Linked DNA regions of Caenorhabditis elegans. The protein of the gene in region 1 interacts with the protein of each later gene in a biochemical or structural test. Each region holds a gene or a part of one and is shown on either strand. Other genes may lie near its edges.

The links.
Region 2: of the proteins of flp-11 (region 1) and frpr-3, one has a biochemical effect on the other in vitro, tested with the Caenorhabditis elegans proteins (one study listed by BioGRID).

Annotation. Positions count from the first base shown.
Region 1 is NC_003284.9:4,676,731-4,680,091, reverse strand, and holds flp-11 (SPLDEEDFAPESPLQ-amide), read left to right. Parts: upstream 1-1,969; 5' UTR 1,970-2,025; coding exon 2,026-2,105; intron 2,106-2,160; coding exon 2,161-2,327; coding exon of another isoform or gene 2,328-2,341; exon of another isoform or gene 2,342-2,396; coding exon 2,397-2,482; coding exon of another isoform or gene 2,483-2,538; 3' UTR 2,539-2,758; downstream 2,759-3,361. Other genes in the region: tmem-135 (Transmembrane protein 135 homolog), read right to left, coding at 2,895-3,027, 3,072-3,238. UniProt on the Caenorhabditis elegans protein: FMRFamides and FMRFamide-like peptides are neuropeptides. Induces sleep-like quiescence behavior following release from RIS interneuron. Helps to sustain locomotion stop after gamma-aminobutyric acid (GABA) induces fast slowing response.
Region 2 is NC_003283.11:7,769,346-7,773,101, forward strand, and holds the start of frpr-3 (G-protein coupled receptors family 1 profile domain-containing protein), read left to right. Parts: upstream 1-1,915; 5' UTR 1,916-1,982; coding exon 1,983-2,585; intron 2,586-2,954; coding exon 2,955-3,057; intron 3,058-3,329; coding exon 3,330-3,495; intron 3,496-3,544; coding exon 3,545-3,660; intron 3,661-3,707; coding exon 3,708-3,756.

The sequences.
Region 1 (3,361 bases):
TTCCAGTTTCCGTTCCACTAGTGATCTTATCATTTATTCATATCAAGTTTCATTTGATGTTCGATTCATTGTAGGTTTCATTGTTCCCTCTGACTATTCATCAAGTTCTATGAAACCATTGTGGCTTACTAGTTCCCCAAAGTTGGAAAGATCTGGAGAAAGAAAAACAAGTATCCCAAAAGCCCAAACCTTTTTTTTCCAAATGTTGAGCCTCTAAAGTTGATGAATGGGGTGAGAGAGGTTTTCATGGTTTTATGGCCCATCAGTTCCAGTAGAGTTCCTCATATCTTTTCGCACTTCATTTTTCAATCTGTTAAGAGTAATTCCCCCACAACTTTTAGCATCCTCAATCCTGGTTCCACCCACAAACACCCACACTCCATTGAATATAAGATTATAAAATATAAGTTAAAATACGAAAAGATGCAAAACTGTGACGACGAAACTTAACAACCTGCTGACGTGTCAAATATTTCCGCATCTTACCTTCGTGGGCATCTTCTAACTCATAAATTTATGATGTTCGAATCCCGGCGCCAAGTGATGTAAACTCATTTAATATTTGAGGAAAAAGCATAGACGAATCCATTTTGCATCTAATTTATTTTTCTAGTTTCACACCCATGTTTCGCTTGGCATAATCAGTGTTTGAGCGCACTTTTTGCAAGGTGCGTCTTCTTGTAAAGAAAGATTTTCAAAAAAGTGCAAAAGTGGGGGAGATTGAAAAACGATAAGAAGGTTTCATGTCAAACAAGGACACACGAATATATAAATACGGGTCATTTTTCAAACTTTCCATTGTGACTTTTTGGAATATTTTTTTCGTAAAAATGAAATCGATTTTCTGACCAATATCTCAACTTTAAAACTTCTAATTCTGCTTTTTTTCAATCTTCTGTAAACAGGAGTGCGTCGAAATTTCGGCAGTTTCGGCATATTGCCAAAAGTTTATAGTCCAACAATTGCCGGAACTGGTGATTTAGCTAAACAATAAACCTCAAAATATTAGGTATTTCAGTAAGAAAATGACCTATTGATTATGACTTTGAATCAAGTTTTGATATATTTTTAATTTTTGAAATATGATGAAAATTAAAAATTATCAAAAATTCTGGCAATTTTGGCACATCGGCACACAATGCGAAATTTGCGGCAACTGCCGATTTTTAAAAAACTTTATTTGTTTGGTATAACAGTTAGGCACGCATTTTGGAAATAAACCGATCTTTTATTGGGAGAAGTGCCAGTTAAAGTGCTGGACCAAGTAAAATGTTTCCAAAAAACCAGACACGTATTAATAAAACACTTCAAACTTTTTCAAATTTTACAACAATTTTCAATTAAAGTTTTGGCAAATTGGTAAATTTTCAAGAAATTTTTTTGCAAGTTTTAATTTTTAAATATACATTATAATTATTAGAATGTTTTCTGTATAGAAAATCTCTGCATCTGTTGGAAATGAATAAAAACTTCATAACAATTCTAAATTAAAAATTCAAGAACACTAGAACAAGCGTCCTCAAAATATTCACAAAATATTGTACACATTTTGTAGTACTTTTTCCATTATTAAAAAAAGCAAAACTAGCTTTTCCTTCCTTTCCGAAATTTAATGCTATTTTCAAGATGACTTTTTTGCTTGCGTTTTTCTCAGTTTCCTCACACACACACACACACAAGTAGGCGTGGCCTGTGGAACGTTTCAGAGCGCAGAACACCTGCATTTGATCTATTCACTTCTTGCTTTTGAAAAGCCCAAAGACACCCTACACTTCGGTTTCGTTTTGGAAACCATTGACATCATCCTATTTTCCATAAGAAGTTTCCTTGAGAAGAATCCATTTCGCAAATTTTTCATTAAAACGTTCAAAACTCATCAAACCATTTGTAAATAGTAATAAAGTATGTCCTGCGGCTATTTGCTTTCTCTTCGGAATCTACAACGCCCCCTCCTAATACATCGTTTCAGGTATAAAAAGACTGCGCCTAGCCGCTCGTCTCACTTTTTGCAGTTCATACTGAATAATGACTCAATTCTCTGCATTGGCACTTCTCCTTATTGTCTTCGTTGCCGCTTCTTTTGCTCAATCTTATGATGACGTCAGGTATAGTTTTTTCTTAAAACAATTTTTATCAATTACCCATATAAATCTATTGTAGTGCGGAGAAACGTGCCATGCGGAACGCCTTGGTTCGATTTGGAAGAGCTAGTGGTGGAATGAGAAATGCTCTCGTTAGATTCGGAAAGAGGTCTCCATTGGACGAGGAAGACTTTGCTCCAGAGAGCCCACTCCAGGGAAAACGGAACGGTGCCCCACAACCATTTGGTAAGTTGTCTTAAAATTTTTCTTCCGCTTTTTGCCTTTGCTTCATGTGTCGTTTATTTTGCTTTGCAGTTCGCTTTGGCCGATCCGGTCAACTCGACCACATGCACGACCTTTTGTCGACTCTTCAGAAGCTCAAGTTCGCCAACAACAAGTAATGACCGAGGACGACCGTCTTCTGCTCGAACAACTCCTGAGGCGAATTCATCATTAAAAATCATATGTTTTTCTCTCTCACACTCTCTTTTTTCATACTCTCTCTTGCTGTCTAGAATTTGATTGGTGTCGCTTAACCCCCCTTTCCCTCCGAAGGAAAGTTATCTCCCCAGATCTCTTTTGGTGTTTTTTATCAGCTAACAACACACATTTTCTGATATTTCTATGCTCTGTCTATGAACAATAAAGGCGTTGTTAATTACTCGCAAAATCACTTTGTTTATTTTTTTCACATTTTCAGATAGTGAACAAAAGAAAATTAAATTCTAAAATCTGAATCGGAAAATTCAAATTAAAAATTAAATTTATTTTTTTTATATTACACCTGTTTTTTTTCAAATATTAGATCAAAAACTATTCAACAAGTGGCATGTAAAGCATAGGATTAATCATTGCATATTTAGGATCGAATTCTGGAATTTTCGTGTAAACATCTCGAGAAACAAAGCCAAAATGATCGTAGAGACGTCGATTGAAAAGCGAGATCCTGCAATGAAAAAGTCAAGTTGTTACAGCTAGTTAGATCCTTACTTTCCACCAACAAGTCCAAAAAGAAAGTTGAGGTATCCTCTTCGAATTGCTCTAGGTTCAACAACAGCGTTCCATAAAACGTAACCCGTCGTGATTGCGTAAAGAATTACTTCTCCATTTTTGAATTTTGGCAAATAACCTCGATCAACTAGATCGAAATATACCGTCTGAAAAAATGTCATGAAGGGAGTTGGCGCTGATCACCTCGCTGTCGTCAGGATATCACCATGGAAGCCCGCCTTTCACATTTGGGATTCCACCCCGGTCGAGCAGCTCATCAAAATTCACAT
Region 2 (3,756 bases), on another chromosome or scaffold:
TCTACAATTTTATTACTTTAAAAAAAATTGCGCCTATTTATTTGAATATATTGGAAGTTTTTCTTAAAACATCTATCAGCAAGCTCCAAATTTGTAGTTCAAGTTCCAAACATTATTTTCTGAAAATTGGTTATTCCTTTAGATCACAATTTTTATTTGTTTTCTTGTTCGATATAATAAAACCTTTAGGAGTATTCCTAGAATTTTAAAGAATAGAAAATATTTATATTTCATAACAAACACCAATCTTTATAAAAAATAGAACTTCACCTCTTCGTGCTCACAAAATGCAAACTTCTAGACCTCCTTGAAGTGATCTCCGTATTTTTTCATTAGTTAGACATAGTTTATGCTTTCACCTACGTTAGCGCTCAATATATAAATATCCCTTTATCCCTCTGTTAATTCAAATACTTCCTGATCCCTCCGAAATTTCAAAATGAAAGGGGTTTCAAGCTACTTGCTTTTTTCGGATTCTCTTAATGAGTTTGAATGTACTTTAAAAAACCAATGCTTTCATGAGTAGGATATAAATTAGCAACTAACTTTCCCGGGACCTCCTACACTTTGTTGCTCAAGTACGTCCCGCCCATAAGCTGTTCGTGGCTCCCCATCTCCGGACCCAATAATTGCCCTCATAACGTGTTCGTTTCTCCTTTGTTATCTGAATCTTCTTCGCGTTTTTCCTTTTCTTTTTTTCCCTACTTTTTGCTCTTCACTTCTGTTTCTTCAATGTTTTTATTTGGGGGCTTCAAGTATTAATGATCACGTCTGAACCAGGTAGTGTTGCAAAAATTCTTGATAATTACTTTTTCTTGTTCCTTTTCATTTTATAGTCTAGCCTTTCCAAATAGGTCAATTGAATTCTCTAGCAGAAAGATACTGGGGAAAAAATAAAAGATCAGGTAATTTTAATCATGTCATACCTACGTGCCTACCTATACCTTTTTGAATAAATGTTGGAACATTAAAGGTTCAACTATCAAATTAGAAAAAAAAGTACATCTTGTTTACTTCAACAATAAACAAGACGCAATGGTAGGCTCTTCAGTTTACAATCTAAAATTTTCCGAACCTTTTTCAAGTGTCTGCGAATTTCTGTGAATTTCAAAGAATTTCGTGGAAAATGTCACAGAACGGATTTTTATGAAAATTTTCGGAGAAATGCGAATTCCTCAATTTTTGTAGGACCAAAAATAACTCGGATTCTCAGTACCCACCTGTTTTTGAAAGCACGTCTGAGCCATAGGCAACGCCAAATATCTGAAGCCTGAGTCTAAACCAAGCCTAAGCCCAAACCTAAAATCAGAATCCAGGATCTGATGACAAAGAATCGTGCACTAATTTCAGGAATATGTCCCACCCCCACGGAAGTGCATTATGATGAGATGAATCTATATGAATTATTAAAGTTGTTTGGAGAGTGTGTGTGGTGAAGCTGTCAGTTAGCAGGCTTTATTTTGTTTGCGATCCATCTTTTCCTATCTGGAAAATTTGATGAAGTTGTGAGCATTTCAAGAACATGGGGTTCCCCGAAGAGGAACAATTGTGCCCCTGTTTCCAGTTGCCACCAAATGAACAGCTGAGCAATATTCATCAATTAGCTCAATTTCCTCCCTCCATTTTCTTATTTTTTCTTCAGTTTTCTTGGACATCTCTATTTTTACGTTCTGTATTCTATAGGATGCTAGTATTTTAAATATGTTTTATATGGCGTGGTGCACAGGTGTTGTGCGCACCTTCTATTTCTACATTAGGTGCCTCAGCAAAATGTAAGCCTAGGCTGCCTAGAAAGAAGGTTTTAAAAGTATTAGAGTGCTATGACGTCATGCGTATCTTAGAAAATAATATTTCCCTTATTGTCTGTGTTCTTCCTTGCATTCACTGTTCCTCTACGCACCTTGAACTTTTGCATTTTCAGCTCATAAATGCACAATTGACCAACAAACATCTTCAACTTCCACTAAACTCTCACAAAAACAATGTTGCTACTACTCTCCCGGGTTCTGGTGAACGTGATGGTGCTGATGTGCTTTGGTGGAATTCTCACGAACTTCATCTCATTCTACATCTACACTCGTAAAACATTCCGGAAAAAGAGCATAAACGTCTTGCTCGCAGCCTTGTCAATGTCTGACCTTTGCGTCTGCGTTCTTGCAATTCCAGTTTTTGCAAGTACTCAACTTCAACAAGTCATTCCGCCAACAATTACTGCAATGATCATGGTGTACTTGTATCCAGTGACCATAATGTTCCAGTCAGTGTCAGTATGGTTGCTGGTATCCATAACAATTGACAGATACTTAGCCGTATGTCATCCATTCATGGTCAATACGTATTGTACAAGGAATCGCGCTCTCATAACTGTTGGAGTTGTCGTGATATTCAGTGTTGCTTACAATTTGATTCGAATTTGGGAGTACACGATAAATTTCGATGTCGCTCCTGAGAATCGTACGATTGAAGATCTTGTTGTACCGAAGCTTCGAGCAAATCCGCACTTCTTATTGTGGTACCAGAATGTTGCCACGTTGGTGTCGCAATTCGCATTTCCACTTACAGTGTTATGTGTTCTCAACATTCAAGTAAGTTGGTTACAATGGGTTGAGGAGTAGGAGTAGGCCTTAGGCTCAGGCTTATGCTTAGATGTATGCTTAGGTTTAAGCTTAAACTTAGTCTTAGGCTTAATCTTAGATTTAGGTTTCGGCTTAGGCCTTGGCTTAAGCTTAGGCTGAGTCGTATGCTTAGGATTAGGCTGAGTATTAGGCTTAGGCTTACGTTTAGGCTTGGTCGTGTGCTTAGGCTGAGGATTAGTCATGGGTAGGGTCAGTATTACATCCTAGACTTAACTGAAGGTAGGACATTATTTTTATTTATTTAGATAAAGCATGTAATCCTAAAAACGATTAGTTTTAGTGTAACTGCCCAAATTTTCTAACAAAGCAATTTTCCAGGTAGCGCGAACAATTATCGAGGCATCCGAGCAACGAAGAGAACTAGTGGCAAGTGTGAAACGAGAACATTCGACTGCAAAAATGATGATAATGGTTGTTTTAGGTAAGATTCATTTTTTGGATATTCTAGAAATCGGATTTTTGCTCAGTGGTCGTGAAAATGAAAATACGGTCACACTCATAGACTGATAGAAGGGATTTGCGGTAAAAATTTGTTTTATTTTTTTCTACCTACCGCGAGGACAAACCCAATCTTAAAATTAGTCACTAGTTTTGAGAAACATTAAATTTTTTGGATAGCATTTGATGAAAAAATTATTTACATATCCCCAATACAATTTAGTATTAAAGTCAACAAAGTCATGAAGCTTTCAGTATTCCTCGTTTGCTACATCTTCTCATTTATTCTAAATATATGGGAAATTCTTGACAAGGAGACTTTTGGAGGAGATATTGGTTGGTTTATGAATGACATCAACAATGTACTTATTGTTGTCAACTCGACGAGTGCAATTGTTTTCTACTATAAATATTCAACAAGGTAACGAGACCTTTAATAAATAGAATATTAAATTTTTTGCCCATTTTAGGTTCCGAAATCAAGCACGGACACTTCCCGGGATACGGTGGTATGCTAGTATGTCAAAGTTCAATGTATATGATACAGAGGCAACATCAAATCGAACAATGGTCACTAGATACAAAGGTTTTTTAATTTGTAATAATATTATATCCTTACCCAATTCTTTTCAGAATCCATGATTTCAATAAGAGGCACGTCAACTCGCCTGAGCAGCTCTCA